3 linked regions of the Astyanax mexicanus genome follow. The protein of the gene in region 3 binds, or shares a complex with, the protein of the main gene of each other region. Links are inferred from orthologs where the notes say so. Each region holds a gene or a part of one and is shown on either strand. Other genes may lie near its edges. The genes, in order: sos1, rgl1 and kras.

Evidence for each region.
Region 1: the proteins of kras (region 3) and sos1 are in contact, whole or in part, in a crystal structure (PDB 8BE4), measured with the Homo sapiens proteins. The link is inferred for Astyanax mexicanus from reciprocal best matches to the Homo sapiens genes KRAS and SOS1. Residues at the interface, in NP_001356715.1 of Homo sapiens: Ser17, Ala18, Ile21, Gln25, Asp30, Glu31, Tyr32, Pro34, Thr35, Glu37, Tyr40, Asp54, Ile55, Leu56, Asp57, Thr58, Ala59, Gly60, Gln61, Glu63, Tyr64, Ser65, Ala66, Met67, Arg68, Asp69, Gln70, Tyr71, Arg73, His95; in NP_005624.2 of Homo sapiens: Lys602, Trp809, Thr810, Lys814, Leu822, Met824, Ile825, Arg826, Thr828, Thr829, Thr832, Leu833, Leu872, Val875, Ser876, Asn879, Ser880, Ser881, Pro882, Tyr884, Ser908, Asp910, His911, Tyr912, Lys913, Phe929, Phe930, Gly931, Ile932, Leu934.
Region 2: the proteins of kras (region 3) and rgl1 are in contact, whole or in part, in a crystal structure (PDB 7SCX), measured with the Homo sapiens proteins. The link is inferred for Astyanax mexicanus from reciprocal best matches to the Homo sapiens genes KRAS and RGL1. Residues at the interface, in NP_001356715.1 of Homo sapiens: Ile24, Gln25, Glu31, Asp33, Pro34, Thr35, Ile36, Glu37, Asp38, Ser39, Tyr40, Arg41, Leu56, Tyr64, Met67; in NP_001284600.1 of Homo sapiens: Ile651, Arg653, Asn660, Gly661, Asn662, Met663, Tyr664, Lys665, Ser666, Ile667, Met668, Lys685, Asn687.

Annotation. Positions count from the first base shown.
Region 1 is NC_064423.1:31,887,579-31,891,332, reverse strand, and holds the start of sos1 (son of sevenless homolog 1), read right to left. Parts: upstream 2,706-3,754; 5' UTR 1,989-2,705; coding exon 1,902-1,988; intron 1-1,901.
Region 2 is NC_064419.1:4,911,217-4,914,970, reverse strand, and holds the start of rgl1 (ral guanine nucleotide dissociation stimulator-like 1), read left to right. Parts: upstream 1-1,411; 5' UTR 1,412-1,834; coding exon 1,835-1,972; intron 1,973-3,754. UniProt on the Homo sapiens protein: Probable guanine nucleotide exchange factor.
Region 3 is NC_064409.1:62,227,343-62,231,096, reverse strand, and holds the start of kras (GTPase KRas), read right to left. Parts: upstream 2,664-3,754; 5' UTR 2,239-2,663; intron 2,233-2,238; exon of another isoform or gene 1,903-2,232; intron 1-1,902. UniProt on the Homo sapiens protein: Ras proteins bind GDP/GTP and possess intrinsic GTPase activity. Plays an important role in the regulation of cell proliferation.

The sequences.
Region 1 (3,754 bases), on a different chromosome or scaffold from region 3:
CTATTAAGCTTTGTTTGTGTTGACATACATCTACTCTACAGGTGAACAGCAGCTAAAAGTCCAGAAAGTGTGTTTCACAGCTGTCCAGAGAAACTGAGACACTGGTGCAATCATTCTGCCACTTGCACACAATAAATCAAGTTTGTGGATGATGCAGGTGAGGAATACCAGTGTTCTCGGGTGCTCTTATGTCTGTGTTACCTTCTGTAGCGACTATGATTATATTATATTAGCACACACAGATAATCAGACTTATAGGGTGATACTGTTACCCTTTTTGAATCAACAATCTTTAGTAGTGCAAACGGATGAGGATGTGTCTAATTACCCCCAAAGTTTCTTCCTTGACATTTGAAGGAGTTTGCCCTTGCTATTGTTTTCTTTGGCTTGCCCAATGGAGGTATTAGTTTAATATTTTATGTATTGATGATCTCTTGTCCTGTTTATTACTGGATTCCTGTAAATGTGCTTTGTGACAATGTCAGCTGTGTGCTATTCAAATAAATTTGACTACAGTGTCTATGCCCACTTGGAAACCACCTAGCCCCCATTCCTCCCATGTAAACCCAACATTGGCAACGTAAACACTAAAACATGGGGCAGGTGGTCTTCCAGTCATAGCTCCTCCCACTTTTCTATTCTCTTTCTACTGTTTTCTTTGACTTGCCCAATAAGAGGTATTATGTTAATATTTAATGCATTGATTATCTCTATTGTCCCATTTGTTACTGGATTCTTGTAAATCTGCTTTGTGACAATGTCAGTTGTGAAAAGTACCATACAAATACATGTGACTACAGTGCCTATGCCCACATACCACCCATGTAAACCCAATATGAGCAATGTAAACCCTAAAACATGGGGCAGGGGGTCTTCCAGTCTTAGCTCCTTCCAAGGTTTCTTCCTCTAGATTTCACTGTTGTGTCATGCGATTAAGTTATACAATTTTATACAATTTTGTTCCATCTCACGTCCCACATGTGATGAGAATGACAATTAAGTCTCACTGAATCCTTGAAATTAATGCTTTACATATTGTTTATGTATGTAATGTGGTGTGCATTGATTCCTGAAAATCTCCTTTGTGACCATGCCAATTGTAGAAAGTGCTATACAAATACACTCGACTACAGTGTCTGTACCCATTTGGAACCCATCTAGCCCACATTCCACCCAAGTAAACAAAACATGAGCAATGTAAAAACTGAAACATGGGGCAGGGGGTCTTCCAGTCTTTAGTTTCTCCGAAGTTTCTTTTTCCAGATTTGAAGGAGTTTGCCCTTGCTACTGTTTTCTTTGGCTTGCTCAATGGGGTATTATGTGAATATTTTATGTACTGATGATCTCTTGTCTTTTTTATTACTGGATTTCTGTAAATCTGCTTCGTGACGAGGTCAGCTGTGAAAAGTGCTACACAAATACATTTGACTACAGTGTCTATGCCCACATTCCACCCATGTAAACCCAACATGAGCAATGTAAACACTAAAACATGGGGCAGGGGGTCTTTCAGTCCCAACGTTTCTTCCTCCATATTTGAAGGATTTTCCCTCGTCACTGTTGTTTTTGGTTATTAAGCTAACGTTTAATGTATTGTTTATGTATGTAATGTGTCATGTACTGATTCCTTTAAATCTGCTTTGTGACTTGGAACCCACCTAGCCCACATTCCTCCCATGTAAACCCAACACGCGCAATGTAAACACAGAAACATGGGGCAGGGGGTCCTCCAGCCAGGACCAAGCTTGGGAACCAGTGGTCTAGGAGAACACTTAGCAAAAAGCCTACAAAGCTGTGTCTGCGTTGACCACGTTGATCTAGCTAGTTAACCTAGCTACTCTACAGAAAGTCAACAGATAACTAGTTACATGGTCCAGAAATCCAGCTGTGCAAAAGCTCACCTTGTTCAGCGACGGTACCAGCAGCCCCCTCCATTTAGGCGCGTTCTCCTCGCTGAAGAAATCGTACTGGAACTGTGTCCCTTGCATGACTTCGGTGGAGCTTCAGGGCCGCCGGTCAGGGTCCGGGTCCGTCCTGCTGAAGCCCTGGCCGGTGAGCCGTGTGTCACACCAGAAAGGCAGGCGCGGGGCCATACACAGGCCCGCGGCCGGGAAGGAGCCTGGTCGAGCGGACCGAGTGGAAATAGCAGCGACCTAATGCGACCATCGCATCGTTGTGGCGAAGCGCTGAGCTGTCTGGAGTCACCAAAAACAAGACGAAAACGTGCCTGAGTGGCTTTAACAGCTCTATAAACGCCCCAAGCCGCAGCCCGAGGCTTTAAAAACAGCAACTCCAGCGAAGAAACACGCAGCCAAACAGCTGGAGCTGCCCCTGTATCGGTTCCCTGCACTCCCAGACGCCGTAGAAACGGGCTGGTGCTAGCTCGGCTAAGCTAACAATAATAATAATAAACGGTTCGCTGTGCTAAGCTAGGCTAAGCTAAGCTAAACCAAACAGGGATTCGCTTACAAACAGCTAACTAATGCGGATTCAAAACTGAAATGTGTCACCACAGTGAAAAAAAGCCCGAGTTTAACTCTCCCCTTTTCGGTACAGTTTAGGACAAAAGCGGCTCCAGCTCCTCGGAACACATTCGTCCATTTTAGCTAGCCGGTGTTCTGTCGGGTTGCGCTACCCACCGATATGTGGTGCTTTGGGGCACTGCGCATGCGCCGAACTACTGTTGTTATTACTATTTTCTCGCTATATAGTTGTTGTTTAATAAATGTTAATAAATGTGGATTAATATAAACAAAATTATAATGAATAACACATACATTATCTTATATTTAACTTTTAACCAAACATATATTTTGATTTAGATTAAAGGTGGGCAGTATTCTGATTTTGTATTGTATCCTGATACGGTTTCATATCAACAGTAGGTTATACTTTTTTTTTGACAATATGCTTCATATTTTTTATTGCAGAATTTAGTCAATACAAACATATAATCAGCATAAATAATAGTAAAAAAAACGTTTCCCTAAACACAAAAGTATCAAAACTATGTCAATAATATAATAATAAAAACAACAATGATTAAAAAGAAATAATACTATTACTAAGCAAAATAAACTACAATAAAAAATAATATATATATAAAAGAGATGTGCTTTTTAGTCCAAAGGAATATACTTTTTTTAGCATATTAAAGACATCCTCAGTGCTGCCTTTTAACTGCGTTCAAATGTCGTGTCATGATAATTTGTGTATAAATCGAGTATTGTTAAAACTGTCTTTAAATAGTTTTATCATATCTTTCAGCCCTAATTCAATAAAGCCAAATGTGTCCCATATACCTACACTTTTGCCGGGGGCATTTTTTGATAAAAGCTAATGATATCAGACTATCGAATTATCTTCCCTAATGTTTTATTAAGGCATGTCTACCTATACATAAATACTAAGGTAGCTCGCCGTGACAAGGTAACCTAAATGGACAGAACACCGGATCTACGGGAGGGTGGCTAACCATTAATTTCGCCGTGGTGCTCTAGTTCAGAGACGGCAGATTGAGCTGGTGACAGCGCAGGCGGGCGCTGGAGAGAGTGCAGGATGTATGGAGGATGGTGCAGTTAGTAAAGAGGAGTTTTTACAGGTTTAAAGCGAGCCGTTCGCTTTATTTTGGGCGGTTGTTGTGACTCGGCTGCAGATGTGGATCATGCGCAGTGGGGGACAGAGACTCTCTCTCTCCGCTGGGCTGGAGGGACAATAACAAAGCTTTCTGAGCTATTTAACGCGCTGTTTCTCG
Region 2 (3,754 bases), on a different chromosome or scaffold from region 3:
GTACCAAAAAGAGCAAATATAGTCATGTATTGTGCGTAATGTTTATTATTATAATGTTAATTCAGGCTTATAATGTTTATTTTCATCTAATATTAATTTAATAAACAACACAGTAACTAGGGTTGTCCAAATATTTGAGCAAAATAAAAAAAAGCATATTATAACTGCCTCCACTGTCAGCTTTAAACTTTTCACAACTACCTCATAAAGCTGACTGAGAAAATTCCAATATGTAAAAAGCTGTCATCTAAGAAAGAGGTGCTAATCTGAAGAATCTAAAACATAAAATATAATCTGGTTTAACACTTTTTTTTTTGTTTATTAAATAATTTCATATGTTTTTTTTTTTAAAGCATATAGAATATGAATATGAATCTACAAAGCCATTTTAAAATTATTTAAATAATGAAAAAACACTAAATTTAATGTGTGTCCATAACTTTATTTACAGTGGATCAGCACCAGCAGATGACATGTCTCTTTATCCAAACCATCACTGATTGGTGGAAACTTCACACTAGACCTCAAGCAGCTCGGACTGTGTGTCTCTCCACTCTTCCTCCAGACTCTGCTTCCTTGATTTACAAATGAAATGTAAAATTTACTGATGATCAGTGATGGTTTGGAGAGTCATGTCTGTCATCTGCTGGTGTTGATCCACTGTGTTTTATTGTCAAGTCTGCTGACAACTTTTATGGAGATGCGGATTTCATTTTCCAGCAGGACTTGGCACACTGCCCACACTGCCAAAAGAACTAATTGGTCTTATATAATATTCAAATTTTAATTATAATTCAAATGATCAAAAAAATCGATTGCTCTGTGTGTAATACATCTATATAGTATTATAAATAAGGAGTAAAAGTTGATTATAAAGTTGTTTACTTTGATTTGATTTGAGCTGCAGCTGTAAGAGTTGTTATGCTGGTGAGGAAGCAGCTTTTTTACTTCTGAGAAAAAAAAGTTAACAACAATAGCCCATCACAGAAGAACAGAGGGAATTCTGGATAAAGCAGTTCTCATTAGTATATAAATCTCTAATCTGCTCTTCCCCCTCTCCTCACAAGAACACCCACCCCCCCAAAGCACCTCTCTTTTCTCTTTTCCTGTTTTTGTTCCTCTCTCCCTTTCTTTCTCTTCCTCTCTCGCCCATTTGTGCTCTCTCTCTCTCTCTTTCTCTCTCTCTCTCTCTCTCTCTCTCTCTCTCTCTCTCTCTCTTTGCTCCTTGCTATTCTCTCTTTTCCCCCACTGTTTCTTCCCTCCTCTCTCTCTCTCTCTCTCTCTCTCTCTCTCTCTCTCTCTCTCTCTTTCAATATGCCAAGGCTGAGTTTTGTTGAAGCCCCGCCCCCAACCCAAGAGAGGCGGGGCTAGAGACACAATAGGCTTTAATCACTCATGTCAAAGCTTGTTTCACATGAGAGAGAGACAGACAGAGAGAGAGAGACAGAGAGAGAGAGAGCTTTCCAGTGTTTATTAGAGTTCACTAGTTCACCTCAGCTCACACTGAGGTCCTGCTTTAGGATACATCACTGGAAAACTTTGGAAAACTCTGAAAAACTCTGAAAAACTCTGGAAAACCACTGGAAAACTCTGGAAAACCTCTGAAAAACTCTGAAAAACCTCTGGAAAACTCTGAAAAACTTTGTTAAACTCTGGAAAACCGGACTGGACTATACCCAGCTTCCAAATAAACTGGAGAAAGACCAGCCCTGACCTTCCACCCTCATCATCGTCATCACCCTCATCATCATCAATTTTGTTGCATCAGGCCTGGGATCCTCCAGCCCTGCTCTGGTACTGAACTGGTCATGGTCGGAGCGGTCAGAAGGTCAGGATGATTTCTCAGTACCCGCTGGCATCACTGCTGCCCTGGCCTCCTCTACCACTCTGCCTGGATCTGGACCGGGATGGAGGAGGTGTGGCCCTGCAGAGGTACCAGCCCCGATCCCCGGAGAGCAGCACACGACACTGGGTCAGTTACTGTACTCACCAGCCTGGGTGTATACTTGTTATACTATGTTTGTGTGTGTTTAGTGTGTATTAGGTGTGGGAATCATGAATCATAAGGCATGTCATGATACGATGTTATCACGATACATTGATCACGATTATGATGATATCTCGATACTGTGATTCTGCGATACGCGATATATATATATATATATATATATATATATATATATATATATATATATATTGCAAAACAATTCTCCATGATACTTAATGGCATCCGCCCCAGCTGGCACACAACCGACTGTCAACACAATGTGGTTGAAATATGGTTTAAGTAATGTCGGTTGTTGTTGAAACAGTATTTAATTATAAATGGTTGTGCAAAACAACATTATCACTATGCAATTAAAAAAAAAACAGTTGAATGTAGGGATAAAAAAATGGTAAAACTTCTGTTTGAGGTAGTTGCTTTTTATTTTGGCGCCATTTCTTTACCATACCTTCTTCATCATGGCATATTGTTGTTTTCCTCTTCTTTTCAATTTTGAGCATCCCGAATGTAGGCTATGGTTTAACATACGGTTTGGTTGCAAGGTTGAACGTACGACGTTAAAACAACATTGCCATATCCATGTTGATTCACTTTTCAAAATTAAAACCAAATCCAGTGTCGATTCAAACATAACATCAACATTGAGTCAATATTATGCATTGTTGAAATGCCAGCTGGGGTGTAACTGAAAAGGACAAAGTACTCTATTGGTGTCAGATTCACAGAATTTGACAACCAATATTCTTCAGGTTTACCCTATTCATTTGATTATAGCGCCACCATGTGTGGAGTCTTAGTGAGCTTAGAGCGCTTATGTTTCAATTAAAACATTGATTTTTGACGCTGCATATCGATAATATTTTGCAAATGAAATCGAGACGATATATCGCAATATCAATATTTGGATATCATACTCTGATGTGTGTTTGGGTGTATGATTTTTACCTTGGCTTGAGTGTAGGCTGTTCACTTCTGTGTGTTTATTACTTTTTGTGAATTTTACATACATTACTTTTATATTGTGCTTTTGAGAACAGTGGTGGCTCAGTGGATAGAGAATTGAGTTATTGGTGAATTGGTGAGTTGTGAGTTTGATACTCTTGGCATTGGCAAGCAGTTGTGTATTTTATATGGGGCAATATCATCATGTCTGATCTGATAGCAACCTATCAACACCATAACAACCTACTGGGATACCATAGTGACCACCCAGCAACACAACACTAGTAACCAACTAGCAACCACCAAAGAAACCAGTTAGCAACTAGCAGGAATACCATAGTGACCACCCAGCAACTCATAGCAACTAGCTCTGTAGCAACTAACTATCAACCACCTACAGTAGTTACACCATATGTAGCAACCAGCAAGCAACACCATAGCAACCACCTCAGATATCCTTCTATTACACGGTGGTGGGTGGTGAAATTATGAATGTTAAAGCTTCCACAACAGGAACAAATCAAGATTTAAAACAAGATTTGTGAGGTTAGAGAACCTGATAGGTTTCAATGGATTTGTCATGGGTTCTTCTATAAAGTTGTATTGTCTCTAAAACCATGACTCAAACTCAAACAATATTTTGAATACTGGAATGGTTCTATGTCCCCAGTTGAATGAATGAATCTTGATGGGCCATTACGGAAAATTCTAGCATATAAGTGTTTTGTAAGAACCTTTTTTTTGTTAAAAAAAATGTGAAATGTTGCACCATTTACTGTAACTGTAAGAATACAACATAATATAACG
Region 3 (3,754 bases):
TTAATCAGTCTGGACTTATGGGTGGCAGAAAAATGTAGTTGCTAATTTTAGTGCACAATTTGATGTATACATTAATAGAAAAGGCTTACTGTACACACCAAACAAGTCACAGCTGATTGACTACACTTAAGGGTAAAAGTGTAAATTTGACACTTGGGTGAGCCATTCCTTCAATCCAGACTGAGCCAAGAACCTTGGTTTAAGAATAATGTACGCCTTTATCGAAAGTTCTATATTTTTACGTACAGGTTAAAACTAATACTATATCAATATGATTTTCCACTGGACTCTTAAAAAGAGAAAGCAGCACTGACTGGTTTAAACTGTCTCAAACACAGGCCTAATCCTATCTGTATCTGGAGAGTCATCATGTTTGTCAATCATCCATTAAATAATTCCACACTTCCACACAAGATTATGGGAAATAGACAGTGTCTGTTGTGATCAGACTACAATGCACACAGGTCATCATTTGGAGACCAGGCCTTCGTTTTTAACTCTTGAATGACAATGGCTACGATTTTAAGCAACACTTAAAAACCAGCAAAGTCCTACAAACAAAGATGGCTAACCAGAGAAGAACATAAACCCAACACACCACCAACCACTTTTGTGGCCACTTTCAGAAGACAATAGAAAACAACTGTCAAAAACAAAGAAAAAGAAAACAAGGGGTATGTTAAGGGTTCTTTATCTAGCTAGTCAGAAGCTTTTGGTTGTTTCACCATCATCCATCATACAGATGCATGGCAATGTTCCTAAAGCAAGAACAAATTTTGTTTTCAAGAAAGGCATACGGATATCACGTTAAGTCCATTCTAAAGCATTAGACGCAGTAAAAGAACACAAACAGCAATGGAAAAACAGAAAAATCAATTCATTAATAAATAAAGTTAAATTAAGTCTCTGGCAGATACAATCTCAGAACATTGAAAGTAACTACAGCTTTAATCTGGGCCTTTACGTTTAATCGCGCAACATTTGTGAATGAAGAACTTTCCTAAAATCACCAAGAGTTCTAAAGAATCATTCGACTGTCTCCAATTAGATTTGAGACAAAAGGAAAACACTGAATTATTATTAGGAACACAATTTTTAAAGGCTGAGAAACTAATAAGCATAATCTTTCCCTCATTCCAAAACTCTGTTAAATCAAATGTAACAAATAAACGTATAAACCTTTTAGCTCCACTAAACAGAAAGGGAAAATATGACAAAGGTAAAACTTAAGTAAAAAAGTGCATATCTTTGACTTTGTTAGGAATAACTTAGAGGATCTATTAAGAAATAAGGTTTGTGTGTTACGTTTAACTAAGAGTTTATAAGTGTATCCATTTTTTGACTATTCGAGGCTTAATTTGAAATCTGAAATTGAGAGTAAAACCTCATTATTTCATTTTATTCATTTAGTATAGTAAAGCTTTTTTTTTTTGCTTCTCACAATCTGCATATTGTAACAATCAGTTTGGATTACACCATTTTCAATTTAAAAGCCAACAAGGTGAAAATGCATTTTTTAAGATGATACAGAAATAGAAAAAACTTGACGTACTGCCAATTCACTTATATTTTTTTATTTAAGAATTTAGCCTCAAACTGTCCGAAAATAGGCCCGATAAACGGTACACTGGTCAAACAGGGCCTGACTGACTGACTGGGGCGTTCTCGGGTAGCTATGGACGGTAGCTAAGCTAACCAGCTAGCCAGCTTGGCTAGTTAACTAGCTAGGTGGCTAAGCTAACCTACAGCCTCAACAGCTGAGCTAGCTTAGCTAGTTTACCAAAAACAATAGCTTGAGAGTTAGCATTTACAGCACTAAACACAACAGGCTCGAGTTCGGTCGTGCACACTGTAATTAGCCGTTACTGTTTTTTGTTTAGCGTTTCTGTAGCTAGTACCTACCTTCAGTGTTTTAGCTTAGCCGAGTTCCGCGTCCACGAATAATATTAGCCCAGCGTTCGAGCCCACAGCCTACAGTCCGCTCCTCAGACCCGAGCCGGTCATTGCTTCGAGGTTAGGTAGTTAACTAGCTAGCTAGTTTATCTCGATGCTGCGCCTGTGAAGCTGACTAGCTCACTAACCGCCTACCCGAGCCTATTTTCCGCAGCGGGGACTGTGGTGTTTTATTCCTCGGCCTGTTCGCTCGCTCGCTCGCTCCCTGCTCTCGACTGAGCTTCACACACAAAATATGGGCGGATACGGTGTGGCTGAGCGCAGCCCAGCGCTAAGATCACTTACCCAGGGAGCAGTGCACCACAGCACGGGCGGGCTTTCCTGGCTCGTTTCGGTACTTCCTAAAGGCTGGACGACAAGCCTAAAACGTGTACATGAGCTGCGCAGCCCTCTCGACCTGCTACTACTACTAATTCCAAGCCTCAGCTTGCATCTTTCATTCTGCACGCTGCTGCTGCCTTAAGGGCACACTGTGACCAGATCGATATCCCTTCAATAACAGGCGATGCAGAACAATGCAGCTCGACAGGGCGTCATCGGTTCATACTAACTTTTAAAAATAGCTTTTCAGAGCTTTTACAGACAACCCCCTTTAAATCACTGCAGGCTTGTCGGTGCAGCCTAACCAAACGAAGCAAAGCGAAAAGTCAGCACAGTGTTGTAACCGGCTTTTGACAAGCACCATTGTAAGCAGCGGGACGCTGAGTGTAGCCGAGCTTAAATAGGCCCTAAATATAACCGGGGACGTCTTGGACAGACGTCAGCCCCCATGCATGAATCTGATTGGCTGAACGCGCTATCGATCACGAGGCCGTGGGACCAATGCGTGTACCGCAACTGGGTTGTTCTAAAATAGTGTTGTTACTCTGCCTCATGTGGTTTCTTAAATATATCTGATTACTAATAAAATTTAAGATGTGCCATATAAATGAATACATCAAATATATCCAGCTTAATAGTTAGTAATTTGGCATTGTTAAAGTGTTAAACAATTTTGGCAGGTTCATTATATCACTCATAGAACTGGTAAAGTAGTGTTTTTTTTTTATTTTGGGAGCATATATTAATTAGTAGATTTTTAGCATTTTAGTGAATAATATAAATATAAACATACTTGTCAAGTTTTTTTTTTAGATAAAATATCATTTCAGGTGAAATAGTTTTGTTGCCTTTGTAAAACAGATGGAACATTATATTAAACTATAAATTCATCTTCGAAACAACAACAAACAAACTACACTCTATTAAATCTGTTAAAGCGTGTGTGTATATTCTTTTTTAAAATATTAAATATTTGTGTAACTATATTATCATTCTAGCAATATTATTATTTCTGTCTTGGGTACACTATTATATGCATGCACTTATATATATTGAATATAGATTGAATATATATTCAATCGTGTACTACATTCGTTTTCACAAAAAAAACGCACTGGGCCGAAACCTGCCCCTCCCACATGTTTATTAGTCGGACAGATGATGCTTACATTTTTTCAAAATTAGTGGATGAGCTATTTCCAGCTGCCTGAAAAACAACTGGGCTGACGGGGATGTCTCTAGTCAGTCTGAGGAATCCGTGCTGCTCCTTAGGACTGAACACTGAGAGAAGCTTCTGGAAATACTCTTATTGTTTACTCCGTTGAAGTTTCTTTATGTAATAGACCATGTGTAGCTGGTAGTCTCTCCTCGGGCATAAAATATAAATATTCACCATCCGCGTTGATCCATTTTAACTATTTTAAATAACAAAATATAAAACAAAAATATTATTATTATTATTATTATTATTATTATTATT